3 linked regions of the Caenorhabditis elegans genome follow. The protein of the gene in region 3 interacts with the protein of the main gene of each other region in a pairwise test. Each region holds a gene or a part of one and is shown on either strand. Other genes may lie near its edges.

Region 1 (8,995 bases), on a different chromosome or scaffold from region 3:
ATTAAGTTCACAGGTTTTATTTCCAGAGCTCGTCATAAACACAAAAAAAAATGATAAAGAAAACTGAAGTGAAGAACTGTGCACTTGTCAATAATCGAGTAGAAATGGAGGAAGTTGGAGGAAATGGAGGACCCGCACGCATCGCAGAATGCGGGAAGGTTTAAATTTTATTATTTATTATCAAAAACCCTAATTTTTTTCAGATCGGTTCCGGTACAATAAACTCGAATGTCGTGCCTTCCGTCAACCTTCCGTCACCTTCCGTCAAACCTTCCGTCACACCTTCCGTCAAAAAGCCTCCGCATGTGGTGGGAATTCAAAAATTTACATAAACTAATGAACATTTTTCAGATTAGATCAGACTACTCGAAGCCTCGTGAAAAGCCAGCAAAAGTTGCAAAGAAACCAACAGTTAAAAATGATAAGAAGCCAAAGCCGGTAGCAATCGTCGCTCCAACAGGTTGGTTTTCCAAAAAAAAAATCTAATTCCCTCCTCTTTCCATTTGGTGGATATATAAGGTGTGAAAATATGAAAAACGTTCATTCTTAGGATGATGATCCTCGATATCACTTTCCTGCTCGTCCTTGCTGGAATGCTATTTTGCGCCTAAAAAAAAACAAAAGTGAGTTTATAGGAATTTCAGGAATTAAGTTCACAGGTTTTATTTTCAGGAATCATAAAAACGTTCAAAACCACACCAAACCCAAATCGAAACTTATAAAGAAACATAAGAAACAACAAAAAGAAAAAAAAGAAAAAAAAAGAAGGAGGAAAAAGAGATAAGCGTGTTCCAAAGAAACGATCAAAGAAATCCAATACGGCCGAGGAAATGGAAAAAAACGAGCTTAAAGTAATACGTGGAAAACCAGAACAACAGAAAATGGACATTTCAACGGTGGAGGTGAAAAACAATAACATTGAAAAGCTCAAAGTAGTTCAAATTTTAATATTTATTATCAAAAACCCTAATTTTTTTCAGATCGGTTGCGAAGCAAAGAAAACTACCGACCGAGTGGAGAATAGTGGCAATGGAACCGGATCAATTAGTGCTCCGCTTACGGACTTAGGTCCTTCAATTGGTGATTCACATGAGAACAAGGGGGCTGACATTCCCATCCATCCACCACTCGATACAGTAAGTTTTAAATCTTAATTTTCATATTGAAATAAATGAGTTTTCAGCAATCTCACGCCAAAGATGATGATTGGTACGACATCTTAGTCATAACAGCTGACTACGAATTTCCAAAGAACCCAGCAAATGAAGATGTGAAAGAAGAGAGAACTCAAGGGGATTGAATGAAAATTTAGATGAAATTGGTATTAATAAGAGAACTGGGGTCGATGTTATATGAGTAGTGTTCGGGTGTTCTACGCTCCCGCAAGCAACTTTCACACCCGTAAGCCTAAGTGCAGTAATAAGGTCTCCGATCCCTCAATCCCCCACGTCTTTCAATTCACCGCGTCTTTCAATCCCCGTGTCTCTCGATCCCCCAGCTCGCGGAGCCAGCTCCATGAGTCAACTCTTTCGAACCAACATATCGTACAGTTTCTAAGCAAGAATGGACATGACTTCTTAAGAAAAACCGGTTTATAGTGATTGACGGAAGTATTGAAACAGCGGAAGACACAACCAGAACCGGTTTGAGGTAGATTGGTATGTTATCTGACAGTTTCTAAACAGAAAAAATGGTGTAACTTTAACAGGAAAAATTAGTTTCAATGCCAACTTGTGTCAATTTTTATAATTTTTCAAAGTTTTCTTCGGAAAATCAATTAGTACGGCTAACATCTAACAGTTGTGATAATATCATACAAACAGATATTTGAGAATATGTATCCGTTTATTATGCAAATATGATGTGAAAAAATGAAATGTACATTAAATGTGTTTTGACAAAAAATTAATGTACATTTCATTTTTACCCAATCGTATCAAATTACTTCGAACTTTTACTGCTTTTTAGAGATTGATTATAGAGTACATGAACATTTTTTTGAGTATGGACATGTTTTTTAGTAAACATTCAAGCCCAGTGTATACATTTTCACATGATCACCTTAGCTTATGATAATACAGTACCTAGAATTATATTTATCGTATGACAAATTACTCGAATCCTCTATGATGTGTCCACAAAATATTGCTGATTTTGCAAATACGGGTGCAAGACTATTAGAGACTGCAATACTAATGGAAATACGGTATATCTAAAGATTTATGATGGCATAGATTTTTTAATCTAGTTTTTGGTTTGGAAATTTATTTAGAAAGTATCTTACAATTTTTAGGAATTTGGAATACATGATAAACAACATCTCAATAGAAAAATAGTGGAGGAAAAAAACAATTCGGAAGAATATAGAAATTTTAAAAAATAACATGATTTCAAATATAATTATTTGCACGTAATGCATAACCAAAAAACAATCACATACCTGACAGCAGTGGAAAAGGCGATCTGCCGAGGTGCAGAGACAATCAAGCGCTGTCCAGATCGGTTCATGGTTTCCCAATTCTACAAAAAAATCGATTAAATCGTGTGAAACTGCTTCAACAATTTAAAACATTGGCTCAAAGTGCCCGAGAGAAAACAAGAAAAAGGGAGGGATATTGTGTTGTTTCGGAGGAACAACTGGCGAGAGACGGAATGATGAGGAAAAAACGAAAAATCAATATTTTGACAGTGTAGTGAATTCCGATTCTTATCAAAAGTTGATTTAGCTGAACTTTCAAAGAACGATCAGATAATAAATATGGTTAGAAAACCAGGTATGCAATCAAATAAAACTTTTTTTTTTAAATATGAGATAATGTTTAATCAGGTAAATAACTCGTCAACAAAAACAACAACAATGGTCTATTATCGGAGATTCTAAATATTTAAAAAATTTTGAAAATTAATGTTGATCTGGATTCTCTCTAGCTGCTCGAGCCAATGGTTGAACAGTTTGAGCGATGATGTAGGTGTTGCGTTGTGTACGGTTTCCTTGTTCGTCCTTCTGTCCTCCAGAATAATGAAGTCTCCCCTGAACCATAAGACGGGATCCTTTCTTGATGGTTTTTGAAAGGATTTCGGCTTGCTTTCCGAAAACTGAAACGGCGTGACGTTCAGTTTGATCGAGAGTAGTTCCGTCTTGCTGCTTGAAGTACGAGTTGGTGATGATATTGAAGATGAGGTAAGGTTTTCCGTTCCTTCCAGTCTTGTACAATGGATCCAAGGCGACTCCTCCGACTAGTTCCACTTTATTCACACTGAAATAGTGATAATAAATAAATTTTGAATCGATATGATCTGAATTCAAAATTTGTTTTTTTATGCTTTCAAAATTGAAATTGTATCTTTCACAGCTATTTTACAACAATATTCGAACGACTTTTTAATAAGTAATTTTTATTGTCAATCGTTGCGTTTGTGCTTTTGAAAATTGTGACATTTTATTTTTTCTAGCAGGAACTTTGATACAAATTATTAATCTCCTAGTTCAGAAAAATGCAAGTTTAACATTTGTGTAAAACTCATATCATACCTGTATGCATGCCGTCTTTGTTCTGGGTTATGATGTTGTGGTTTTTCAGCGAACAAGTCATCAACCTGAAACAGACAAAAATTTCATAATTGCACAATTCGCTGTTTTTCAACTTACCTCTTGCTTGCTCGGTTGCTCAGCAGCCATTTTGGATGTCAATGACATACAGCGGACGGTAGACTTGGAGATCGTGGAAAGTGAACGAAGCATTTTCTATAATTTTGGTTTATCGATTGAGCAAAATATGAGTTATTTTTAAAAATTCAATATTAAATGTTCAACGAAAAGATTTAAACATAGTATATACATTTTACAAATAAAAACGGGCTCAAAACAACTGTTAAATATGGAAAAGCAAAAATAAAATTGCATTTTTTGTGGGCGGAGTTGAATCGCGCACTGTTGCAAGCCTGGCACGCGATTTCCGCAAACACGCCGCACAGTTTACTCAGTGTTTCTCTCGCTTTTCTCTTGTCATCGGTTTATTTTTATTTTTTAAGTTTCACTGCAAAAAACCACTTTATTTCTACAATTTTATTGATTCAAACCAATAAAATTTATCAAAATTCCGTTAAATTCAAAATCTTATTTCGGATTTTCCTATATTTGATTGTTATTAGATGTTCATTCTAAAACTACTAAAAAGATATTCATAATTCCAATGTATATGTTATTTTAATTATTCCCACGAATTATCTGTCATATTTCGAACTTAATTTCCTAATTCAATTAAAATTGAGATAAAATCTTGAAAATTAAGAAATTAGAAAAACATTCTCAAAATAGCATGTTATTAACGGTTTCACTGTCCTCGAACATTAAATTTTCTAAAATGACCTTAGTTAGTCAGGTCAAGTACAGAACATAATGTCTGCGTCTCTTTCAACTCAAGACTATCTCTTCAAACACCTTCTTACAACGTCGGCGTCGATCACAGCCTCTTCTCGTTTTTTTTGTCTTCCGTCTGCATCGCATACCGAAGAAGGTTGTCGCTCCACTCACATGTCCTGCAATCATTTTACGAGCATTGTCACACACATCTTCTATGACGACTGTTTTGCATTCATTCATAAACCCGTATTGTCTTTTCACGCTTTTCTTTGATCAGTTAACCTGTGTTCTGCTCATTCATGCTCAAACATCACTATTTGCTCTTGTTCACTTCACTTTCTTATTGTAAATTTTCAGAGCTTCTTCACAAGAAAACTTCGTTATTGGAATTGTATCAAGGCGTATTGCTGACTGTTTGGTACGTTTTTCACCGGCTTTGAAAAAAAGTTTAATAATTCTCTATTCCTTTTTTAGAATCGAAGAATGGTCGGCGGCGGTCGAACAGGCATACACTTGCTTCTTGGATTCCTTATAGGTGCCGCTCTCGCGCTCTTCTTCTTTTCATCCACACCAAGTATAGACTTGACCAGCTCATTGGCTGCATTTACATCATGTCAGAATCAAGAAACAGAAACGAATGTTCTTGAACCATCGGCACTGGAGAAAGGGCGAGTATATAAAGATTTATCTGAGCATTGGATTGTGAGTAGCTTTAAAAAAAACACAAAATTTCATGAAAGAATCAAATTTAGGTTCACCAAGACGATATGCCAGCGCCTCCTCATAATCAAGACGCTACTCCAAAGGTTACAAGAACTCGATTTGCAGCCACTGAACTCGGTACACGTGAACGAGTTATGGCCGCAGTGATGGCTGAGTCTGCATTGGCTCTTTCTATTAATGCAACTCTTGGGCGCCATGTTCCACGTGTACATTTGTTTGCTGACTCTTCAAGAATCGACAATGACTTGGCCCAGTTAACCAATTTGAGTCCATATAAACTAAACGGACAAAAGACGCATTCGATGGTTTTGGGTCTCCTTTTCAATATGGTTAGTTGAGTTGTTCAAAAATGTTTTTTTATGTAGTTGTCAACTACTCGTATTTCAAAAAAAAAAGTCATAAAACTATTTCAGAATCAATTATAATTGTCAATTGAATGTTTTTCAGTAAGTTTACCCCATGTTGTAAAGTCGATTTTGGTGTAAAAATTCCCCTGTTCAGAGTATCTCAATTGTTCTTTTTGGCTTCTTCCTGTCGGAGTTGCATTTCCTGATTAAAAATAAAATGTTTTCAGACAGTCCACAACAACTATGACTGGTTTCTACTTGCCAAAGATTCGACGTATATCAACCCATTCGTTTTGCTCAGAATGATTGATACGGTATTTTATCCAGTAATTGTTTTTGTAAAATAGTTGTTAATTGTCAGATGAATTGGAATGAACCAGTTGTGATGGGTGAAGCAGCTGAAGATGGAAGTGGACGATGCCGATTGGATACTGGAATGTTGCTCAGTCAGCCAGCAATGCATGCTCTGATGAAGTAAGCTTTAAATCAAAATTTTCACATTATGATAAACTGAAAAGTGTTTTAAACTGAATATTTTCAGCAATCGGAATGCTTGCAACAATTTCGCACTGGCAGCCGATGACGATCAACTCGCATTTGAAAAGTGCATTCAAATCGCAACAAATTTGACATGTAAGCCGCTTCATCAAGGAGTTCGTTATGAAGTTTGGCGAGGAGCCGAGAGAGCTGATTCGCCAGCTGCTCATGACTCGATTGAGGACTGGAAACATTCACCAGCATTTAAGAGAGCTCTTGCTGTGCCAAGATTACTTTCTGATGCAGATGCATCTGCACTTCATGATTATTTCGTTCGAGTTGAAATGCAAAGAGCTGATCGAGAAATTATCAAAATGGAAGCTGAACTTTCTCGTCTGGCTGAGCAAGAAGCTCGTGAAACAGGAGAAGCTATCAGCTGGCCACCAGCACTTCCACCGTATGCAAAACCACCAAATCGGTATCAAGTTTCGACTTGGGAGTACTTTACGATGACTGAACTCTTTCGAAGTGAACCTAATCAAAATGTTCGACGTCTTGAAGGAAAAGATTTCGATGATGTTGCTGAAGTTGTGGTGGCTGCTCGGCAGCAAGTTGAATCAGAAGAACCAGAGCTTGAATTTGTTCAATTGAGAAATGGATATCGAGTTTTTGATCCACGGAGAGGAATGGATTATATGGTTGATTTGACATATCGAAAGACTGTCAATGAAATGCCTGAAGTTGATAATCGATTTGAAAGTGATAATGAGGTAAATAAAAGTTCTAGAATATCTAAATCTAAATCTGAAACAGATTTTCTGAAAGTTTATAAATTTGTTTACAATCTCAGGCTGCACATGAGGAAAGTCTCAAAGAGATTGTTGTGGAAAGAAGAGTGCACGTTAGTCGAATGATTGCAAGTACGCAGCTTATGAACCAGGCACCATATGTGAAAGAAGACACAGATGTCACTGTCGTTATTCCAGTTGCTAGTGAAAAAGACGTTAGTTTTATAAAATTGAAAACCACAAAGAGAAGGGATTGTCGAAAAATGTTTATAAAATTTCGATTTTTCAAAAATAAAAAAAATGTTTTAACAAAAACTCAATTTTAAAAAAAATTGTTTATGTTGATAGAAAAATCATGAGAAAAATATACTTTTATTATTTTTAAAAAATATCCAAAATTTAAAGCTATTTTCGAAATATTTTAGTGTAAAATCGAAAATCAACATCTTTGATTAGAACTTATATATTGTTGAACATACAAAAAGTGTTTTTCTAAAGGTTTTTCAAAAAAAAATTGGTTCCCATTTTTAATTGTTTTGATATAAACAAATTGAAAATATGTATATATTGTAGGTTCTCCCAGCCCGGAAACTTCTTGCCAGACAAGCTCGCCTCTGTCTCTTCCCCACAGAAGAAGCCCGTAAAACTCGAATGGTTGTAGCCGTTTTCCCATTAATCGAATCTCGTTCAGTGACTGCTATCACTAATGATATGGAAGAATTAAAGCGACGATGCAAGCGATCACTTTTGGAAACAGATGTTCTTCCAGTACATCCTGCTGTTAGTACAGAAGGAAAGGGAACAGCTGCTGCTGCTGCGTTGGATGATGCTGTGGATCGATACGGAGCCAATACAATCTATCTTCTACTTTCTCCACATGCAGATGTTCAAAAAGAGTTCTTTGATCGAGCTCGTATCAATACGATTAAACATTATCAAGTTTTCTTCCCAGTTCCATTTGTTGAATATCATCCGACAATCTCTGGAATGGAAATGACAGAAAAAGAAGAAAAAGAGACGCCGACAGAACAAGCTCGTGAAGCTGCTTTATCACGATTAAGAGATGGAGTTGAACCAAAAAGGAAAAGAACATTGATTGTACAAAAAGAACATGGACGATTTGATTCTCAAGATTTCTCTTGTTTCGCCGTTTATGGTGTGGATTATGTGACAGCAAGAGCTAAATTCGGTCAAAATGAGAGACGGAACGACTTGATTTCTGCGTTCTTGGGACAAGATTCTATACATGTACTTAGGGCTGTTGAGCCAACTCTCCGAATTCGGTAAGATCGCCAAATTTTGTGTTGTTCCAGTGTTATTAATTAATGAATTACTTACAGATATCACAAAAGAAGCTGTGACATGGAAAGCATCGACACCGAAGATATCGCTCGTTGCCTGGACAGTAAAAAGGAAAACGTGGCGGCGAAGGATCAGTTGGCAAAATTGTTATTCCACGAAAAATGAACACCCTTCTACTCCCAACTTGTCCATGATATTTCTGCAAATACGGTTTCCTATTTTCCCTTTCTCACCTTCCTATTGCACTACAATTTTCACTTTGCCCTCTTGCTCCGAGCATAACATTTTCTTTTCATGTGAATACGATAATCCCGGCGGTTTTTCATTAAATAATTTTTAGCCCGCTTGCCACAACCCGATGCTTTATCCCCGTCGTCAAATAATTCATTTTTTACAGTTTATGTTAAATTGTGCCACATTTTTTAATTCACTAAACAAAGTACATACTATCTCGACCCGTCCACTTTTTCTATAATTTATGAATATCTGTGATTTTTAATCATAAATTTTTGTTTTGATTTTCTTGAAGAACAGTGCTTGTCAAAAAAAATCAAATTTCGCAGGCCTTGCAACATGATTTTAAAACAAAATATTTTGTTTAAAAGGAAGTTGGGCTATTCTTTTTTAAATTGTCGCAAAACTTAATATTTTACTACATTTTCTTTTTTTTTCTTTTTAAGGACATTTCGCATTAAAATCTCAAATTTTCCTTTGAAAGAACGGAATTATAATTATTATTTGAAAATTTGAGGTGGATACGGTAATTTTTAAAAGACGTGGTGAGACCCGCGCGCCCAAGATGTAGATTGCGTCTTTGATGGAAACTACGGTAAAGATGTTTTCGAAATCGATTTTTCTTTTCGGAAATTCTCCATTTTAAGTTTAACTCTTCAATTTATTATGTTTTTTTTTAATTTTCTATGTTCATTTCTGCCCGCAGAACGACAACGTGCATAATATGCACTGTAAAAGTGAGAAAAAACCTCTGGAATGAT
Region 2 (11,882 bases), on a different chromosome or scaffold from region 3:
ATAGCAAATTAATACAAATTCAGGCTATTTTTTGAAAATGATTTGTCATAAAATTAAAATATTTATTACTCTGTCTTCGAACTTTTTCTAATCTGTCATGTTTTTGATAGATGCTCCCGTTTTCTATTAATATTTTTCTCGCCCGTTATTGACACATTTCCCTCATGAGTTCTTTTCTCTCAAAGCTGACATCAACTAATCTGACATGTGCATTACGCGAACGAGCATTTATGAAGGATGAGCTTCACATTCTTCACGGCCTGAGAAAGAGAGGTGAGAGCTCATCTAATTAGCGCGATTTTCAATAATCCCGCTGCTGAAAGAGTTGCGCAAGCTTTCACTTAAAATAAATCAAATTTCTCTGACTCTCTAGCCACTTTGCCGCTGCTCTCGTACACTTTTTTGTGTCTCTTTTCCCCTCTTTTCTACCTTTTTGTCCTTTTTCACTTCCGAAGGTTTTGGCAACTCACCAACGCGCACAGGGTCCTTTCCATTTTCCATTTATAAACACATTAGATTGGCTTCCCGTCTATCGGGGACCGCTTTCCGTTTTTCCCAACTTTTATTTTTGTTTGAATGCGTGTTTCAACGTAAACAATTAATTCTTCTTTTCCTTCAAAACTTTTCCCATCTCTTTCTTTGTTACGTTTACACAATTTTCATCAAGTTTCATCAAATTTATACCCATTTCCTCCATCTTTCAAAAGACCTCACCGAATCGCATCTGCGTATTACCATGTAATATGATCTTGTTCCAAGCCTGCACTTTTCTCTCGTATTTTTCCAGTCGATTTCCGTACGTTTTGCTTTCAGTTTTATTACCTTTCTTTTTTTGGTATAGTGCCAAACTTATTGTCTATCTTTCTTTTTTTGTCCCATTCTACTTACCTCAAGATTTACGACATTGCTGAGATTTATGAGTAATTCCACAATTGATCACTTATTCAGAATTGGTTGAATGATGCATAATAAACCAACTTGATGGGTGCCGTTATTTCTCAACTCGGATTTAACCAACCGTTCTTACTTGCATTGGCCATGTAAGTTTTTTACTTACTAAACTATATGAATTTTTGAAACACAAAAATGCTAAACAGTCAATTAAACTTTTTATTTTTGTCCATTGCGTATGAATTCGAAACAAAACATTTTGAGAAATTACAAACGTTTAGTGCTCACAAGAAAAGCACTTCAGCAAATTTTTTTTCGATTTCCGATCTAACTAAGTCTTTGCCAATTGAAAGGACAGTTTAAACAAGTTTCAACGAAAAATTCAGCAGCAAATGAAAAATTTTGAACAAGAAAAATGAACCAAAAAAATGAATATTTTTCAATGTATTTTTCGCTACTCTGAAGGGTTGTAAAAGTGCTTTTAAATTTGAGCTAACTTTCGTGAGATAAACCCCATTCCTTGTCATTGTGTGTTAATTGATCTTTGTTGAATAACTTTTTGAAGCTGATACAATTTTCAGAAAATTGTCAAAACCATTTTCAAAATTAAAAAAAAAAACTGTGTAACTTTGTATTTTTTACAAATACACACAGTTTCGCAAATTAACTGTTTAATCGCTCTGGTCAAGAATAATGTCCTTTTGAAAACTAGAAATTTCTTGGAGAATGGCTCATAATATGATGTTCTAATATTAAAAATAAATACCTATTCAAATTGCCCCAAAATTATCATAACGATGATATGATGATAAAGCAACATCTCTACAAGTTTTCAGAGTTTTGGTAATTTGCCAAATTTTCAAACCACTTTTTTTTTGACAGTAAATTTTTTAAAAATACAGACAATTTTTTAAACGTTTTGTTAAAATTTTTCCCCACAAAAGCGCTTTTTAACAAATTCCATATAACTTCAAACATTGAAAACTCGAAATTTTCCATTTTTTGAAATTTTTCCAGCCAAAAATAAATTGCCAACGCCCATTTTTTGAATAAATTTGTTTCCTGAAAACGCTTTTTGACAGCTTCTCAAAACTAAACACACGCAAACTCAATGAATTATGTAACGGCTTAGCACATATCTTCGTCAGAATTGCCACTTATTCAAGCTTCTTGTCGTTTTTCTAGAGCTGTTCAAATATTCAAATGTTTTTTTTTTCCAGAATAGTAATTCTTCTCGGGCTGACAGTATTTGCCGTTGGTCATGATAACAATGAAACCGTCTGTGATTATGTTCCAATTGTAAGTGCAAGTTGTTAATATTTAAAAGAAAACCTTTAATTTTTTACAAAAAAAAATTACAGCCACAAATTCGGATACTTCCCACATCTGCTCCGCCTCATCCTGCACCTCCACGAAAAAACATGTGACAAATTTTGATTAATTTTTTGTTTTCGATTCTTGATTTCCAATTTCGCTTTCATTCAACATTTTTTTATTCTCATCGTCGAGTAATGAAAAATTTATTTATTTGCAAACTACAGAAGCTTTGTGTTTTCGCGGTAGTGTTTTCGAGATCGGACAAAATAGGGAAAGACGTCAGAATAATATGTGACCTACGGAGGGAGAAGGTGGATGAAATGGGTCAGGAGAAAAGGTATATTTCTTCATCAAGTATCAGCGTAATAGGGAGAAAGGAAAAAGCAGAAAAATATATTTAAAAAATAGAACTGAATAATGACACTCGAAAAACTTGGAGAAATTGTAAAATTAATTTGATTAAGAAGAAAATTTTACTTTGGAAACTCTACAACTGTATGAGAATAGGTGGATGGGTTGAAAACCATCTCAAGTTGATCGCTCTCCACTCGTCGGCCATAGTAGCGGTTTTTCAGAATCTGTAATAGAATCCTGGATGGTCATATCATTCTACTAGAAGCTTACGTATAAGAATTTTCGGAACTTGGAACGGTCACGATCATCACGCTTCCGCTGAATAGCAATGACATTATCAGCTTCCTGGGTGACTCTGGCGGAACCTCCAAAGTGTTGCACATCAATTTCAGTATCACCGTCAGTTTTTCTGGGATGAACAACCATAGTGATGTGAATTTGATTCTGAGTAGCAAGTTGACGCATGTATCCGACAAATCGATCCTGAAAACGAAGGTTCAAGAAGATTTATATGTTTAGAGGAGGACTAAGGGTTTTGGGTTTTTGCATGTACATATATTTTCAAAATATGAACAAATTTTGTAATGATACTCAACAAACTGGTTAATGTTTTTTTGGAGAAGTGTCATAATATTTACGAGGTCCAGAAAAACACCCTCTTGATAGCAGTTGGGCGGTCGATTTTTCAACTTTTTGCCATTTTGCTCCCAATTTTTGGGATATCCGAATACAATTGTTGACACAGAGGTTTTTTGTAATGCTGAATCCGATTCCCATATTATTTTCCTATTAAAAAGTTCCAAAATGCCCTAAACCGCTCAAATGGAAGGGGGGTCCCAGCAATTGGGCGCACTGTAGTTTTTCTCCTACTAAACCAAATGTTCCCATTTCTTGTAATGTTAGTTTATGAACCAAAACTGTAAGTTGATGTAAAAAGAAATAACCTGAAGGTGGAATCTATCAAGGCCACTTGACTTCTCATCTGCCATCATTCCTTGGTTAATCAAAAACTGGAGATTATCGATGACAACATGTTGGATACCACTGTTTTCAACGTGAATACGAATTGCCTAAAATGGTATTTTATGATTCAAACCCTGCTCCACTATTATTACTCTGACTATTTCATTTATGGACTTCTCCATGAACTCTTCGGAGTCAAGCATTGTCAACGCCGAACTCGATCTCTCGAATCTATCCAACCATGAATTTATCGAGTTGCTATACTCTACTCGATGCAGCGGAAGTCTGAACCAGATTGATTGGGAGTTGTGTATGGGCTACGGATGTCTGGGCACAATCAGAATAAGCATGCCAACACTCATCCACATACCCATTTCCGTTTCCTTGAACAAACTACCGTGCAAAAACACACTTTCAAGATAATCGACAATTGCCTCGCGCACCACGAAAAGCACTAGCTAGTAACCAAAATGAGCAGTGAATGAGAAATGAAGATGTTCTACAACTCAAAACTGTGAGGTGGTAAAATAAAATAAATAACAGGTCTAGTTGGCTACTGGTTTCATAAGGAAATTATTGAAATAGTTTTTGATTCACTTATTATATTCAAAAACCAATTTAGAAAAAACAAAAACTATTCCAGATAGATCCTAATACTTCTAAATATTCTTACTTGATGCCATTTTTATATGAGTTAGTGCGCGCGAGGCTTCGAAGATGTGAAGGACTGCAGACAAAAACAAATGTTAGTTAAAAAGTTGCAAGCCATTGAAAAATAAAATAGAATAACAATAGAAAAAACACTAGATCATCATACCCAGCGTATTGCACAAGCATCCAATGGAGGATCTTCTTTTCAGGCATCTCGAAACTGCAGAACAGCGTGCGCACCTAGAATTAAACCAGAGATATTAGAAAAACTCAGCTAATGCTAAAATTTAAAATACCCCTTGAGTAAATAGATCCAATGAGTATTCACATAAAAATGTAGTTTTTCCGTTGCCGGTTCCTCCGGTTAAAACTGTCATCTCCCCTGGCCGAAGCCCGCCAAGATACTTATTCAAAACAGCAAATCGTTTCCACTGAAACAAATTATTTAGACCGAAATTTATCTTTTTTCCTTTCGTCTTACTTGTCCAAATCCAACAACGCGATTTGTCGAGTTGAGAAGGTCTGAACGGATTCCTTCACGCATGTCTAAATCTGTCATTGAACGGAAACCACGCTCTCTCATTCGAACCACCTAAACTATGAAAGTTGAAAAAAAACAAGAACAAAATGGCAACAGTACCGAGTTAGATAGTGAGTTCCGAATGAGCCGATGATCACCATTACGAACCAATTCAATTGGGCGTTCTTCGTTTCTGAACTTACTCTTTTGGTTTTGTTTTCCGAACGTTCTCTATATACTAGGGCTTCCAAGCAGGCTCCGGAACGCCACCTGTCTTACGCCGCAATCCGCGCCTTCCATGATAGTCCTACTGAATACCATAAACTCACTTCACAAGAAGACATTTGAGGGTGTTCAAAGCACTTCCCCAGTCTTTGGCATAACTGACATGCTGAACCGGGAACCACAGATAGATCTTGTCAAATTCCTCCAGATACGGAAGCACGAGTGGATCCAAAATTTCTCCATGTGGTAGAGCAAATACCAGAGCTTTGGTGGCTTCGTAGATCGCCAAAGCATCACGCTCATTTGTGGTAATGACTACACTTCGATCTGACAGAGTTGCCATATGAAGCCCGAAAACTCCATTGAACTTTTGGCGAACGCTGGAAATGGGTAACTATGAAGGAAGACATCGGAATTTCTACTTACGAAGTTTCATCTGGCAGTGGATAGTTCTCCTTTTCCATTCTGTCTCCAACTTTACGGATCAACTTCAAACCCATTGGAATGCGTAGCCGGGAAGTCATTCCACGATACCGTGGAAAAAGAATGGCAGGTTGACCATAGGTGTCGGTTTGGACACGAACGTTGAAACGAGCAAGAGTTTCGAATGAAATGTTCTCAATTCCAAGCATCCCTTGGAGTTGCTTGAAAATAGTGAAATCGTGGCCACTCAGATCAGTTATGTCTAAACTGCTGTCCCAGTAGCGCTGAAAACGGAAAAAGCTTTTTTGGGAGTGAAAAAAAATTCGAACCTTGATATCCGGATCTGGAGGAGCACTCATGGCTTCTGAAGCGTCAAGTCTTGGAGAAGGCGCGTCAGAACTGAAAACGAACCAAATGAATTTATTTATGTTAAATTGAGCTCAGTCAAAAATTATGTTCATATTTCAATTAAAGTTCATATCGAAGATACTCGACTGAAAATGAATCCAAGTGTCAAATTACGTAATAAGACCTTTTGAATACTTTTCAAATATTTCGAGGGGGGCTCAAACGATCTAAAAATATGGCTAAACTAAGATTGGTAACTGCAATTATATCTAAATAATGAACAAAAAGCGAGAGATATGCAACTTACAGCAATAATCCTAATATCAACTCTTTTGCAAAATGTTCAAAAAACTTTTACGATGGAATTTGCTTTTTGAAATCCATCTTATAAGTTAACACCCTCTTTTAGAGCCTTCAAAATTAAGATTCAATTTTGCATTCAATTTTGCTTGAGCTCGGTAAAAACGATTTCATCAATATTCAAAAAAAGCGTATGTGAAATTAAATAAGATTAACATAAGCACAGGATGCAACACTCAACACTTTCTAAACCTGAAATCAAAGTCTGCAATCTGATTCATCGATTCAGACGCTGTCACCGATCTTCCCGTCCGGGGTGCTTTTCTCTGCCGTAGTCGTCTTCCGGTGAAATATTCGTCGTCGCTGTGATCAAATGGAGCTTCGTCGGGGCTTGGCAGAATTGTATAGTCATCCATATCAATCCATGACACTGCTTTAGAGTTCAATGGTGGTAAAAATCCACTACTGGACGAGGATGGTGCTTGATGGAACTGATTTTCTAGAATTCGACGCGATATTATTAGAAGTGGGGGAAAAGCTGAATGAATGGGGTGCCAGGAACTTGAGCAGCCGGAAAAAGTGCCAGAAGTGAAAGGTTCTGATGTTTACAAACCAGTCACGATGGGTACAAAACAGAAAAATGCGCAGGAGAGGCACCCCGCAAACAATAATAGTTCCCCCCACCCTAAAAAATGCTATTGTGCTCGTCCTTTGGCCCCCATTCTTTATGATATTCGACAATTACACAGCTTATTTGGCAGGAGCCCTCACAATTGCTGGCTAGAGACGTTTTGGCAAAAGTTGTTAGATTCGACAAGTCTGCGCGGTGTAAAAATAAAAACATGGTGGCGGAACTAGTAATTCGGGAAAATTTCAGGTGTTTTCCAACAAAAAAACTGCATCCGTTTCCAAATTTTTTAAAAGCATATTAGCACAAGGGAAACGCAAATAGAATGCTTAAAGACATACCGACTGGATACCCATTATCTTCGTCTGAGCTTGAATATAAATACGATTTTTTTGACATCCTAGATACCGGTCGGGACTTTGAGCGATGCATTGTACAGTAATAGATTTGAAAAAACCAGCAAATGAAATAGACAAGTAAGTTGCAACTTGAATCAGAGTTCGGATCGAATCAATTCAAGTGCAAGTGAAATTGACCTCGGGTTAATCGGGGTGGTTCGGAGCAACGGGGCGAGAGAGAAAAAAGGTTGGCGGGGGCACCGACGCCGTACACCTCACTTTTTCGAGCAATAATCCTATGGTTGAGTGAAGGTTTGGTGGAGCAAAAATGCTCTTAAATAGAAAGCTATCTTCGACTTTTTTGTGTGCTGCTTCTCCTCCTCAACCTCCTCGTTCAGACTCGCTTTTATGTTGGGGCAGCGTTAAAGGCTTCCTGGATTTTTGGTGGCTCACTAAATCGAGGTGCCCCAAGTGCTTTCATTGTTTTTCTCCTCTTCTCGTCTTATATATCTTTAGATATTACGAAAAATAAATTTTTTTTGGAACGAAGTGAACCGGTTTACTTTTGTTAGGTTTGGCTATTTTCTGAGGCAACAGTATTTTTTGAAAAAGTATATTCTGGGGGAATACAAATTAAAATTATACTTCCTCACAGTTACAGATTCACATTTTGGAAATTTTCAAACAAAATTTCAAAATCAGAAACTATCAACCAATGAATATAAAAACAGCACAACATCATTAAAAAACGTGAAAACCGAAACTTCCATGAAAACCGAATATGACAACTGCTTGGCACACTATTAAGCAAACAAAAAAGACTTCTTCTCCCGGAAGTCACTTATGTGCATGTTTCTGGAAAACATGACAAAAACTGGACTTACTCATCGCGGAACTTTCCCACTTTCGATGTCTTCTTCCGAGTATCGATTTTGTCCATCAAATTCAAATAGCTCACACGATCGTAGAGATCCGAGTCGAGCTGAAAAAAATTTGAAAAATACAGTACCATTTCTAAGACTTACTTCGTCTTCCATGGTTTTGAGCTGCAGTTTGCTAATGGTTTTTGACAAGGTACCTGGAAAAAATAAAAAAAGATGTTTCAAGGAGATCTAAAATTGGAAAAAAAAACTAGGGAATAGTTGCCAGTTGTCGTCTAAAGACTAAGACAAGAAAATGTCTCATAGGACGGAATGATGGGGGTGGGGTCGAATGGGATAAGAGAAGGAAGCTCAATTACTTGTATTGTCGACAGATACACCTTTCGAGACGGAAGGAAATGTACAATCGTTTGAGCAGGGACGGAGCCCAGCTATGATTGCACGTACCAAACAATTTTTATACTCCATCCCACAATGTATATCCATCATCTCAAAAGTATACATTCCGTCTTCCTCCTCCTCCTTCTCTTTTTACTCCAACATCTCCCGACCATCATCGTTCTATTATTTTTCCCGTTGGATTGGCACGAATTGGTATACCCAAATTGGTACACTTCTTACGACTAACAATGAACCCGTCACATACCTTTCCTTTTTCTTTTAATAGTATGCATCAAGGGATGGAAGGACTTAGATTGGGAATCGAAGAAGAAGCAACGTCTGCACTTTCAGGATTCCTCTGAATGCCGCTCCTTGTTTGTTCTCAACCGCACTTCCTAGTCTACTGTTACTTTTTTACGCTCCATGGGTCACACGTGTACAAGATTGTCTGCGACCGTTGGACTCGGTGTGGGGGCTCGATGGCAGGAAAATTGCTGGCTCGCCGTGTAGCAGGAAACACCAAACTACGACAAGTCTAGGTATTCAAAAAATATGTTGCTGTCAAATTTTTTGAAAAGAACAGCTTGATAAAGTTCTCTTTCAAAAACCGTTTTACTGTAAATCATTGAGCTTTTTAATTATAAGTTATTTCCTTCAAGAGATTGCACTTCTTAAAATGTTCGCAAAAATTGTATTTCAAACTCGGAAAATTCAATTGTTTCTTTTTCTGATTCAATTCAATAATTTCTATTCATTTGTGATCCCAAAGGCAATTAGAGATTTTTTAAAAAATAAGTTTTCTGTTTCAAAACTTTTTCGAATTGAACTATTTCACCAATTGTCAACATTTATTTACAACGAAAGTTTCAGCCATTAAATTTTATTTAAAGTGTTAAAAAATGTTTTTCTTTCAAAAATAGAATATTGCCGAATGAGAAAACTGTTTACAGTTACGTGCTCATAACCAAACTTAAAAACCAGAAGTATCAAAATTTTTATATACATACAGTCACAATGTGTCAATTAGTCAGTTCTTCCACTAACAGATTTGGAAAAAAACATCGATATGCAAATTTGCCCTATTGTCCAAATCAAATCACACATTTTCCAAACAGGACCATTAACCAGAGTATTTCTTTTTTCCAATTTTGCGTTCAGTAAGTTTTTCATTTCAAAAGAATCTTGATTTATTACACCCGTCAATCAAACAACTGAAATTTTAAAAAATAAGAAATGATAGAAAAACTGTACATATGTGGATAAGATCTATACACCAAGTCCCAGAAAATGGACGCACTGTTTCAGACCGGTGGTTTCAATTTCATCTTTCTCATCTATGTCACTATCAAAGTTTCCATAGTAATCATCAGTATTGCCAGACGATTTTTTAGATGAATCAGAAGTTTTTGAAGGTTTCTTCTTTTCGTCGATCTGATCGTAGTAATCAGGAGATCGTCTGAATCGCTTGATCGGATTGAAGTCCTGAAAAAATTTAGATTTTAAAAATTCAAGTTGTTATTCACCTTGAGGAAATTGAATTTATCTGTCGAGAAGAATATTCCATTCTCCAACTGTGGTGCTTGAATCGGTTGTAAAATTAGTGAAGGCACAGATTTGAAAGCAAGCGGCGGGGCTGGTGGAATAGTTGGAGGCGCGAAAAATGGCATTTGAGTCCAGCTAGAGACAAGATCATTTCTGATTTCCAGCGGTTGTAATGATTCTGTAAATATTTTAAATATAATGAAAAGCTTACTTGAAATAAACATACTTGTCTCAGGGTTGCTACTCCACGTTTTGGATCCGTGTGCTGTTTGCACGGGAATCACCGGGGTAATAGATGGGGTATCATAATCCGCCCAGCGCTTCTGAAATTGTTAATAATATTCTCATTGTTCTAAAATGAGAAAAAGAAAACCATACTCTATTATCATCGTCTTGTAATTGTGCAGGATCGTCCATCATTGGTTTTTGAGGCTCATCATCAGTAGGCTCATCAAAATCGGGGATCGATGTCACTGGTGGTTCTGTGGATGGAGGTGCACCGCCTTTTGCATCTGTTGGCTTTTCAATAGATGTCATGAACCTGAACTTATTTTTTCTATAAGTTTCAATGTTAAAGCTAACATACTTATCAATCAATTGGAATCCCTTGGAAAATAATTTACACTGCGCATCATCCATGCCTTGTTCTTTGCATACAGCGTGAACTGCATCAGAGTTACTGGAAATTTGATTTACACTTTATTATATTTGTTTTTTTGTTTGCACAACCGTACCTGCTGATAGTTTTTCTAAGCTTAGCATCTCCAAGTATTTGAGCAGCAAGTTGTATATTGCCAAATGTCGGATCTTTTTTGAAGTTTTCAGCAGAACACGAAATGAATCGGCAAATACTGAAATTCCCAAAATAAAAAAAAATGAAAGTTCCAAAACATTCGAATTACTTACTTGCTATTCCCCTTGCAAAGTGGTACATCATCTAACGCAGTTCTCGAGTGTGATCCCAAAATTGATGAGTCGCGCATATCATCTTGAGTTGGAGCGTCCTTTAAAATTTCAATGTATTATTTGGAACTAATTTTTACGCGTGCTCGCGTATGTCATTTTCAAAATTTTTGAAGCATTGGAAAGTTCAGAATGCTCAAAACTACTGAATTTCGTGATAAGACGTTCTGAAATTTTTTTCAAAAACGGTATGGCGGTTCTAAATTTTGAATAAAATGTAAATTTTCACTAAAATCTCAAATTTTACTCGATTTACTAGAAATTTTGCGCGACCATTTGTGGATGTAAGTTTTTATTGCGTAATTTTGTAATTACGTCCTGTTTTTTGATTTAGGCTCTGATTTTGTCAAGTTTGCAAAATTGGAGATTTTAAAACAGTCATTTTTTCAGTACTTATAACCGCCTTCAGTAATTCTGAGGAATTTTGAGTACGTCTCATTACAAAATTCGGAGGTTTCTAGCTATTTTGGGTTTAAAAATCGAATTCCCAGATTGTTTTACCTCACCGTTTAAGCTTGCAAAGAAGCTTACAGGCAATATTGGTGATTCAATTTATATCACCTAATTCGATCAGTTCTGGAATTGACTCTGATTTTGAGCTTACTGGTTTAAGCTTACTGGTTTAACTCACTGGTTTTCTAAGCATTCCTTCGTTTTGAATAGGTTTTGAAGTGTCAAAGATCGGTCTCACGAGACTTAATGCGCCGGATATAATGTCATCAATTGAAACTGAAAATTGTGAAAGATTGCTTAGGTTTACAAGGACGCTAAAAATAAAACTTACTTTGCCTTTTGCTTCGCTCTGATAATACTACAGGTACCAATAACAGAAAAAGTAAGTAACATTTCATCTGGAAAAACGGCTTTGTGATCACAAAAAATTGAACACCTAATTGAAAAGATAAAGAACGAGGTTAAGGATAAGATCACGGTGACCGATTTAGTGAGAAAGAGACGAAAATGATAAGAAACGGTGAATAAAATGATATAGTCTTTCACTTTGGTGGGTCATGAAGCATGAAGCAACTACGATCCAAGACTGGATCAAGTGATTAAATGATGCGCCTTGCGACATACTCATGTTTAGTGAACTTATTGAAAAGGTCGCCTGACGCTTCTAGAAATAACAGTATTAAGGATGAACGTCCGGAGGTAAG
Region 3 (10,527 bases):
GTTGAGATGAGATAAAGTGACAAATGATATCAACTGATGATGTCTGATAGTAGTGAATTGAAATAGAGTGTACATGAATTTTCATAGCCGCAGAGATGAAGACAGATTTTTGAAAATGTTTTGTGTAATGACTCATGAGGACAAAGAGAGGACAAGCATGAGCAAAACACGAGGCGTTTCCTGTCTAGGAAGACTGAATAAATAAACAATTATCATGTCCAAAAATGGAACAGAGCTATTGTGAATGTTGAGGAAAACAGTTTTGACGTGTTGCTATATCACAAACATTATGACAAAATTTACCACAAAATTTGCATTTAAAAATCGTTGATTGGTCTGAAGACCACATTCGAGAGGAAATTTGAATAGGTAGGTCAATAGAAAGGGCCATTAATGCTTTCTTTAAAAATTTGGCAATCCCGAATATGATTTACGAGAAATGGGAATTCCAGGAATTTTGATCAAAACGGAAACCAGACTAATAGTAAGGAATGTTTATATTTAGGTTTTGTCCTCATTTTGGGACATTTTTCGAATATCGAAAATACTTTTTTCTCAGTTTTTATACATTATTTATGGCGAAATATCTTCTGTATACACATTTTCAGCTTTAAAAATAATTTTCAAGCTCGGTACTAATACGAGTTCAGTCGTGCGTAAGTTGGCACAACTTGTAGCACCTCCCAATTTGTGATGGGTCTTCGTTTTTCGGTTCTTTTGAGTAAATATTAGAATCTCAAAGTTACTAGCTGGAATGTAGATAACGTCATTGAAAAGCTCAACGTGTTACCAAAAGTGAGAACAAGCGCTCATCCACTCTCGTCATAAAATAAATAATACCAAACCCACCGAAAAGTGAGACCCAATGCATTGAAGTGAAATATATCAGACTTAGAGATACAAACAAAAACCAGCAATGAAAGAGAGAGTGTATGGAATCATAGGAAACGCAGAGACATTGACGAGAAAAAGGGGCCATGAGCAGATGGTCATCGCCTCTCGTGACCGGAGAGATGACCGAAAATGTGAGGTTATGTGTGGATAAGAGAAGGAGGTTTATATTATAAATAATTGATGGTACATAACGAGAGAGAAAGACAATTCTAATGGTTCAAAAACCTTTTCAAACCCAGCTCAATGTGGCTGGCCTAAAAAGGGTAATTTAGTCAAAATAATGAGAGAGCTCTTTGAAAAGAGCAATACGGAAGATGGAAATATGAAGTTCAAAGTATCAAAAAAGGAAGTTGTAAAACAATAAAGTTCTCAAATAGACTAGTTTAGGTATTTTCTAAATAGTTCAAACTCATGATGTATTTGCAGAACCAGAAGGGAAAAAAAAATCAGGAAGCAAAGATACATTTCAAAATATTGCTATTTGTACCTCCTTATTCCTTGGCTCTATTTTCAAATTTCCAAACTGCGAACTGCAAGACCAATCAGCATTAGCTTCGTATACCTCTGAACCAATCAACAAATTGGCACAGCTCTAATTGATTCAGAAAAACCGGAGCTAATCGTTGATTGACCTTGTAGTTAATTTCTATTTTTCAAATAGATATTATGGTCTAATATCAAAGTTTACAAAGTAATTTTTGTTTCTGCGCTACAAAAACTGTCCTGAAAAGTCCACTATGAGCGACTAAAAATGGAAAAAAAGTTTAAAACAGAACAGGAGTTTAACGACAAAATACAACAGGAGAATGCGTAACAGCAGAAAAACAAGAAAAATGACGAGAAAACATGAAAAGTCTGGGATTAGTTGATGTCAATTCTCGTATTCTGAGAAGTGACGGCACGGAGAAAATAACAATAAGGTTTCATGCTGATTTGTTTCAATTTGTAGGCTGAATTTAAAACAACGCAAAAAAAGACTAGAAGCAGATATCTAATATCGAAAACTTTGCCGACTATTTATGTTTTGAAACAAAAAATGTAGTGAAAAGCTTTCAAAGTATCAAGTTACTTTACTTTCACATGAAAATTCGATTTCAATTTAATATTCGAAACTTTTCCACCCAATCCAGAAACTTTTCCAGACAATAGACACATATTTTAGCTTCCTTTGAATTTTTTGGTCACCCGAAATGAAATTCAATTATCCACTGAAATTTACAGCCTCGCACGTCAGATTTGTGGTCCGTTTCATAATATAATTATGGAGCGTTGTCAACAATATATTTTTAGATTTGTAAAAACTCATTTTGATCGATCTCACCGTTTCCAATTATAATCAACATAATCCATATGACAAGAAAAATCAACCACCACATCCACCAAACCATCTCGAAGCGAAGAAAACTATCGAATAAATTTAAAATGATAAGATTATCCTAATCTTGTAATCTGATTAGGAATAAAGTAACCACAAGTTCAAGCTAAAAGTTCGGCCTTCACAAATAATCATGTACGTGAAATTGAATTTCCCATACTGCCTCGTCCGGGTGAAATGCCTAATATACCGTATTTCATCAATTAGTATTGCACCACATTGTTTCACTTTGACAAGTTGGATGCAATACTATTAGAAAGACCATGGTAAGCATATTCAAATATTAGACTACAAAAGAGGGAATAAAAAGTAAAGTGGAATAATGTAACGTTTGCATGGCTTATATGTTTTCCGAATAAGTAAAATTAATGTAAAGTTGGCAAAGAAAACTAGATTCACTTTTCAACGGGCTTGAAATTGTTAAAATTTGCTTTTCAAGAGTGGTCATTTTTGATGAAATACTTTCGCAGGAACACTTTCACGAAATACACATATTAGCCAGTAATTCCAGATAACTTTTAAAGTTTAAATCCAGAGTTTCCCACACTTTCTACAAAAATTGCTCTTTTTCAGAAACTAAACGACAATTACAAGTATATGTGGCAACGTTAGAACGAGCTAAAAGTGGAAAAACATTCCTCGAACTCCTTATTCAAGTCGTAAATATTTTGTCTCTTCATGTTATTCTTCTCTTTTTTGTCACTTTCGTCTCTCGAGCACAAAAAAAATAAAAAGAAAAAGAGAAGACAAGGGTTGCATTTGTTTGGGTACATGTTTTCCTTTTTTAGTGTTCGGATCAGAAAGTCGAAAATGAATGAATGAAAACAAATAAATTTATGAAACAAATGGTGCTTTTGGGACCCAGTACACAACAAAAGCCGAGGGAGAACATCTTGAAAAGTTCTTTGATTTCTTAGAGTACAAAAATGTCTCTGGTACGAGTAAAACTCTGCCACAAAACCTTTGGTCTCGTCGATTTCGAATGAAAACGACTGAATGACCTTCATGTTTTCATGTGTTATCTCGTGTCAAACACACATGACACCTGGCAGACGACATGAAAATAATATATTTTCCCAGCTTATCAATCTGATTAATAGATGGAAAATTTCAGAAAGACACGAAAAGAAGTACAAAGTTTATTTTGAAAAAAAAGGACAAATATTTTCAAGTCAACAAGGTGTGTCTGGAACAATTCGTTTTAAAACAAAAGTTCAACCGAGGATCTATTGCAAAAACAATCCTTTTAGATACATTGCACTGGATATTTTTTGAAACGACTATTAAAATCAAATCTAAAAAGTATCTAGATGTCAAACAAAACTCCCAGAAAAACGGATGTGCGCCTTTTATACAGTAACTTCAAAAATTCATTGCAGCAGAATTTTCATCGATTTTTGTCGTGTCGAGACCCGGTACCGTACTTTTGGGACGAAACTCGCGAAATTAATCTTCTGGATAATAGTAGAAACGTATGTCGTTTTAGAAGGTTTGTTTGACATTTACATTTTTTTAAGATCTGATTTTTTAATTTTGAATCTAAAAATGAATTCATAAAGTTTACAGACTTTACAATTAAAGATTCTTTTTTTTTTTTAATTTTTTATCCTCCCCTGTCTCACTATTCTTATGTATATTGGCAAGCTAAATTCTGATTTTCAATTTATTTTATTAATGCGAAATGAAAAGATTCACAAAATTGGAAAATTACAATTTTAGACTTCAGAAAAAATAAAAAAATAAAGATAAGACAGTACAATGGAAAAATTTAGATATTTGAATTTTTGCAATTCTGCAAAACAGTCTGAGTTTTCTGATTTGATAAGAAAGTTGTTATGAACAATTTGAACAATTTTTTAAATATTTGGAGGATTCATGAGAATATTGAAATGCATATTATCGTTTGGAAAGTCCTTTTGAATTGGAATTACAGTGCTGGTTGAGAGTACAAGATGGAAGTTGAATCCTCTGTTTTTGTTATCTGAAATTGTTGATAAATATCTTTGAACCAAGGGATGATAACTCACATTCAACAATACGTTTAAGATTGTTTAGCCTCTTCCTCAACGACATCAAAATCGTCTTTCTCTTGGTCATCAGAGCTCTCAGACGAACACTCATATTCTTCAATGTCTTTGAGAATTTCAGCAAGATCACTCAAAGAATCTTCATCCGAAAAAATAGATCCGGGATAGTTGCTCTCAGCAGTTTCAACTTCAAATTCGACTTTTCTTGTAGTATCATCTTCGCTTTTCTTTCCATCTTTGACTTTATTAAAAATCGGTTCAAAACGATCCGAAAAGAAAGCCCTATTCGTTTCGAAGTTTATAGTTTCTTGCTTCATCATCTCTTCAATTTGTTCCTTTTGTTTCATGAGCGTTTCCTTTTCAACTCTGAACTTTTCCTTTTCTCTGATGAATTCTTGACGTGAAGCCGAAAGATCGAATCGAAGTTGCTTTTCGTGTTTATCGAGGCTAGATTCTGCTTTCTTGTAAAAGCGATCGCGGAAAGAAACTTTTTGAACTTTTTTACCATCAGTTGTATCTTTCAGTTTTGGATGCATTCTTTCATAAGTTTGCGGTTTCCTGCTAGACATGTGCTGAGCATACCATGGGTCCTCAATAATGTTTCGATCACTTTGTGCATTCAAATATCTCGAGACATTGTTCTTTGTTGCGATGGCTTGAGGGGTTATGCCCAATCTCCTCAAAGGAACCTGGATAGCTCTGTCACGAGAAGAAGCAATTGCTTGAACTTGACCGTTTTGATCTTTTACCTCCTCTGGGTTTTTGACAATCAAATGTTCGGGGAACAAAGTATTTTCTGACACCAATCGAATCAATGCATGCTGAGCATGAACTCCGGCAGCTTCACATGTTTCGCACAAATCGTAGTTGTAGCATATAGCACACTTGAATCGATGCCCAATAATCAAATCTTGGCACTTATCACATGAAGCCTCGTGAACTTCCTTGTTTTTGAAGGAGTTTTTGTCTTCTTTTTTGCGACACTGATTCTCAAGCTTCATTTCGGAAATATCCTTTTGAAGAGATTTGATTTCCAGTTGTTGCTTGTCTAGAAGCTCTTGAAGTGAGAGTTGTCCTTCAGCAATCTAATATAGTTTTCTTTTAGAAACAAGGGAAACGAATCAGAAAAATAATACCTCAGTATCCTTCATAACTCTCCATGCCTTGTCAGATTTCATCGTTGCCTTACATTCATTCACAGTCCGACCCAAATCATCCAACTTGGCAATTACCGAGACATCCAAGATTCTGACATGAAGAAATAGCTGAGGAAGTTGAGAATGATAAAAGCTCAATTCCGGGCGAATGTTGTTGTAGATCTCATAGCCACTGGACAGAACTACAGGGCCATCCTTGGTAACTGAAAATCATATCTGGTATAAGATGACTGACATTTTATATAGTGCCAGCTGAAACTCTATTCGTATTTCTTTTTTTGTAGTTTCTATTTAAAGTGAGCACAACTCAAATACTAGCTCATTTAGATTTGAAAATTTTCAACTAACAAAATTTTGCTCTTAACGATTTCTAAAATTATGTTATCAAACAAATTATCATAAATTCTTTGGAAAAAGTTACAGCAACCTGCGGTTGGGTTCAGATTAAATTTGATAAAACGATATATTTTCCCTATAACCTCTATTGTTCTACTTTGTTTTTTGTCAACTGTGTGTGCAACAACAATAGTTTTGAAACATCAAAAACTCAATTTTTAGACAGGTCAAATCACATCCAAATGCTTCAAAAATCTTGTCAGCCGATGTAACTTCTTTTCATAGAAAAACGGAAGCGTAGATAAAATTCAATTTTTCATAATTATAATTTTTCAGTTGATCAAATTTTGTTGGACATATTGATTATTGTGTTATACTATTTTGAACAACTCGAATAGTATCTGGAAAACCTAAAATAACCAATGAAATTCGCGCAGGCACTGTGCATCTAAATTTCATTTAAAAAAAAACTTACTGCAGCTAAACTCAAAATCAGCAGCCGAATGGATGGTGGAAGATCCCAACTCGACGAACGTTTTTCTGAGTTGATCGAGGACTTGACATTGACATGAGAGTTCCAATACAGCATTCTTGTTGATATCCTCATTGTATACACGCCAATGATAGTTAACCTTGACACGGCATGTTTTGTTATGTTCACGGCACAAAGGTATCATTGGGATGACAATTGGAAGTTATCAAGTTATACCAAGTTTCTGGAATTATTTATCGAAGTTCTAGAAATAGTTCAATATGAGAGAAAAATTAAGGAAACATTAATACATATTTTGAAACAGTGTGCAATTTCTATTTCGCATAATTTCTTTGCCTGTTTTTTAGAGAGAGGTTGCGAGTAAGATATTTATAAACCTAACAGAAAATGGCATTATAAACATTGAAGATATATATGCATAGAGGTTCTTCTGCCAAGAACGTTTGGGAAAAGAGCAAGGAGAAGTAGGAGACTCAGAGACAAAAGTGTTCCCCGCGCGGAAATGAGTGGTACCTCGAAATAGAAATCGATAAGCGTGTGCCCACTTGTCCGGGGGTACAAGGGTCAATTGGATTATGAGGTATTAAGTTTGGGCTATTATTATTAGAAATGAACCATAACTGGAGAATCTGTGGACTTTTTTTCTCCCGTAAAAAATTCCCCCATTTTTGCTGAAACGATTTTATTCAAAGTGACTCATCTTGCAAAATGACGAATCACAATTTACAATAATTTTTCGGCGACAGTTCAAAGGCACACGCTGTTTTTTGAGAGGGTCTCGCCGCGATCTCTGTTAAAATTATCGTTATAGGGGCAAATATTTACAGATTTGTTAATTTTTGGTAGAAAATGAAGTTTATAAACAACAATTTAACTTCTGTGCACAGAGAAAATCAGGATTTACCAAAAGCACCTAGTTTGGAAGGATTGACGTGAAATTCCAATCGGCCGCCTGCGCCTGCCTGCGTTTAATTTCGAAATGAACAAAGACTAAATATAAAGTGTAAAAACAGATTGCAACCTTCATTTGCCTTTTCTCCTCTCCGTCTCTTTCTCTCTCTGTTTTCGTTTCCTCTCTCCGTCTCCCAATTTTTCATTCTATTTCGGTTTTACATATGTGTATTCAAAAACGAGATAGAATTTTGGAAAAATATAAAGTAAATTTGGAGAGCGCCTAGAAACAGAGAAAACACAGAAAATCACGCGGAAAAGCTGTCGTACGCGGAAGATGTGCATGCATAATGATATCACTGAATTGGACATTTTTCGGTGTAAAATACAATTTATTTTTACAACACATACAATAAAAGGTAAAATGACCAAACAATATTGCATTTAAGAGAGAGAGTGAAAAAGGCTTGGATTTACCCAAAAATAGGGAAGAAGTACGGGATTGAAATTGAAAAAAAAGTGAGAGGACATACTTAAACACTGGATAAGAGAATAATTGTTCGTTTTTGAAAATTGCCAAGTAGAATAAAATTAAATCAAACTTTTCGCTTAGAAAAATTGGCAATTGTCAAGAACAAACAACCCTGAAGATTCGAAAATACAATGCAAACTATAATAAACAAATCATCAGGGGTGGTGGACGTTTTGGAGGCGCATCAGACCAGAGGCGCTCACGATGGAGTTTAGCCAAAGGTCGTCACAAAGCTGCCTCTACTAGCGACCACCGACGGTCCAATTTTGAAGAGAGTAGGTGATGAAATAAAATGACATTGAGATTTTAGGTTTATTTGTTTTTTTTTTTGAATTCATATTTTAAAAAAGAGATCCTAAATAAAATCAATGTTCATTTCATTCCAAAACCCAAATTCTCCCCCAAATTGGACCCTTCTTAACCTCAGCAACCAGAAGCTTGTAATTCCTCATCTCCTTCCTTCTTTTCAAGAGTCAACGTGGTGAAGTTCTCCGCGACAGTTGGATGAATTCCAATGAGACGATCAAAATCTGCTTTCTTTGCAGCCAATTTCAACGCGATTCCGAATCCTTGTGTCACTTCACCAGCATTTGGAGTGAGAATGTGGAAGCCCACAACTTTTTCCTAAAAAATCGGATATTAGTTTAACTTATTTCACTTTTTATTATTACCTCTTCATTTCTCAAACAAATCATCTTCAGATAGCAATGGTCCTTATCCATTCTTTCTGAAATCGTATATTCCAGTGGATTGAATACATTGTGATAGATTATAATGTTATCCTTTCCATATTTCATCATTGCATCTTCCTCCGATAGTCCACAGCAACCATATTCGAGAGGAGTGAAGACTGTTGTTGGGATTTGATCGTATTCCGTCTGAAAATGTTTGAAATTAAACTTTTAGAAAATATACAATTTTATTATTTTAAAGATGGAATAGCGCCGATGTGGATTTCAATTTAAACACACAGACTGGATCTAAATGCTGAGATAACACAAAATAAAAATTTTAAAAATTGCTAATTAACTTTGATAAACTTTTTTATTGTCAATAAATTACTCCTTTGAATTACCTAATTGTTCCTAATTTTCAAGTGAATAAAGGCTTTTTGTCTATAAAAGCATTTCCTTTTTATCTAAAATACAAAAATTATAGAAAATGGTTTTTTTCGAATTATCATCATACATCACACGACGCAAGTAATTGTTGTAATTGGAAATTGTAGATAAATTTTTGGCATAAAGTAAATGTTTTTATAGACATAAAACCTTTTTTGCTTGAAAATTTGAGGCACAAAAAATAATTTACGTCAAAATTGAGAAAAACCAAAGAGCAGCAATAGCGCGGTAATTCAAAGCGATTTTTTTCCAATTCAATGATTTTTTAAAGGTTTTTCTTTAGTGATATTTGGGCATTCAGGAGTTGTGCGAACTTTAAGGAAATATTAAATCCACATTTTTGAAAGTTCACAAACCAATTCATTTGCTCCATCGAAAATTCGTCTCATTAAAACTCTTCCAGCTTGAATAGCAACTGGAGTCAATTCAGGTGTTCCCTCCAAAACGTCACCAATTGCATAAACCCATGGAATTGTTGTCGACTGCTCACGTCTTCCCAGTACTTTCTTGCTCTTTGCTCTTTCGACACCAATCGTTGTAAGACCAACATCATCAGTTACGGCTTCCCTTCCAATTGCCATCAGAATCGTGTTATATTCCTCCGAAACTTCTTGCATTTCTCCGGTTTCTTCGTTCTTTTTCGGCCAAAATACTCGATACTTTCCAGCTTTTTCGTCAGTTTTTTCGTCGATTTGCTCGATTCTTGTCGGGACTCCTGCTTCGAATTTCATGCCGTAGGCGATCATATGCTTACGAATTCGTTCAGCCATATCTTGATCAAATCCACGAAGTAGAATAGAACGAACCATAACCTAAAAAATCAGAAATTAAATTTTTGGGATTTAAAAAAGGAAGTTGACAACCAATTTTTTTGTTTAAGATTAAAAAAAACAATAAAATTGTGGCTTTTCTGAATTTGAAATTATTTTTTTAACTCCAAATTCGTTTTTTACACTCACCGTAACATCAAATCCAAAACCGTGCAAAAATCCAGCACATTCCAATGAGACGTACGAAGCACCAACACACAAGGTTTTTCCAGGAGAATATGGAAGTTGGAACAAATCATCGCTAGTTATAGTGTACTCTTTCACTCCAGGAATTTCCGGATATTTAGGACGAAGACCAGTGGAGATTAAGAAGCGATCAGCAGTGAGTTTTTCAACTTTCTTCTTTTTATTTGTCGCAGAAATTTCAAATGGTCCAGTGAACTCTCCGTAGGAATTGATATACGTAACCTGAAAACTAGGATAACATTAATAAACATGAATTCAGAATATTTTCAATCTCTTAAAGCTTACCGTCTTTTCTCTCAATTGCACACGGTAACCCCAATTCAAAGAAGCGATATGATCTTGAACAGAATCACGCAAATGATTCCATTGATGCTCAACTTTCCCTTCCGGTAGTTTCCAACCATATTTCTTCGCGTCATCTGTAAAATGTTAATAACTTTATGTTATAATTAGAAATAATATTTATACTCACGAATAGAATGACCCAAAAGACTTGCTTGATGCATCAATTTCTTTGGAATACAACCGACATTCACACAAGTTCCTCCTAATCCCCAAGATGTTCCTTGTGGTGATGGTTTCACAAAATCCAGACATGCGACTTTTTTGCCTAATCGAGAAGCTTCTTTCGCTGCTGCAAGACCTCCAGATCCTCCTCCAATGACAATCAGGTCGTAGGTATGAT

The links.
Region 1: the proteins of gldi-4 (region 3) and mtss-1 interact in a two-hybrid assay, tested with the Caenorhabditis elegans proteins (one large-scale study listed by BioGRID).
Region 2: the proteins of gldi-4 (region 3) and twnk-1 interact in a two-hybrid assay, tested with the Caenorhabditis elegans proteins (one large-scale study listed by BioGRID).

The regions. Positions count from the first base shown.
Region 1 is NC_003281.10:8,763,061-8,772,055, reverse strand, and holds mtss-1 (Single-stranded DNA-binding protein, mitochondrial), read right to left. Parts: upstream 3,746-8,995; 5' UTR 3,743-3,745; coding exon 3,650-3,742; intron 3,598-3,649; coding exon 3,533-3,597; intron 3,258-3,532; coding exon 2,903-3,257; 3' UTR 2,813-2,902; downstream 1-2,812. Other genes in the region: K02D10.3 (uncharacterized protein), read left to right, coding at 105-158, 204-308, 352-460, 673-722; K02D10.2 (uncharacterized protein), read left to right, coding at 831-932, 981-1,136, 1,184-1,300; Chondroitin sulfate synthase mig-22, read left to right, coding at 4,847-5,065, 5,116-5,415, 5,661-5,747, 5,795-5,907, 5,975-6,680, 6,761-6,913, 7,272-7,981, 8,039-8,165.
Region 2 is NC_003284.9:5,787,857-5,799,738, reverse strand, and holds twnk-1 (SF4 helicase domain-containing protein), read right to left. Parts: upstream 6,409-11,882; coding exon 6,245-6,408; intron 6,142-6,244; exon of another isoform or gene 6,003-6,141; intron 5,934-6,002; exon of another isoform or gene 5,813-5,933; intron 5,744-5,812; coding exon 5,674-5,743; intron 5,629-5,673; coding exon 5,348-5,628; intron 5,302-5,347; coding exon 5,026-5,301; intron 4,890-5,025; coding exon 4,817-4,889; intron 4,769-4,816; coding exon 4,658-4,768; intron 4,608-4,657; coding exon 4,473-4,607; intron 4,417-4,472; coding exon 4,343-4,416; coding exon of another isoform or gene 4,316-4,342; intron 4,253-4,315; coding exon 4,199-4,252; intron 4,185-4,198; exon of another isoform or gene 4,041-4,184; intron 3,811-4,040; coding exon 3,678-3,810; intron 3,633-3,677; coding exon 3,507-3,632; intron 3,046-3,506; coding exon 2,833-3,045; intron 2,787-2,832; coding exon 2,682-2,786; downstream 1-2,681. Other genes in the region: F46G11.4 (Inner membrane protein), read left to right, coding at 982-1,040, 2,112-2,190, 2,253-2,318; F46G11.2 (uncharacterized protein), read right to left, coding at 9,487-9,702, 9,744-9,940, 9,989-10,085, 10,141-10,303, 10,349-10,441, 10,497-10,613, 10,669-10,766, 11,357-11,454 and 1 more.
Region 3 is NC_003282.8:7,013,604-7,024,130, reverse strand, and holds gldi-4 (ZZ-type domain-containing protein), read right to left. Parts: upstream 6,506-10,527; 5' UTR 6,467-6,505; coding exon 6,265-6,466; intron 5,657-6,264; coding exon 5,433-5,656; intron 5,382-5,432; coding exon 4,311-5,381; 3' UTR 4,297-4,310; intron 4,251-4,296; 3' UTR 3,921-4,250; downstream 1-3,920.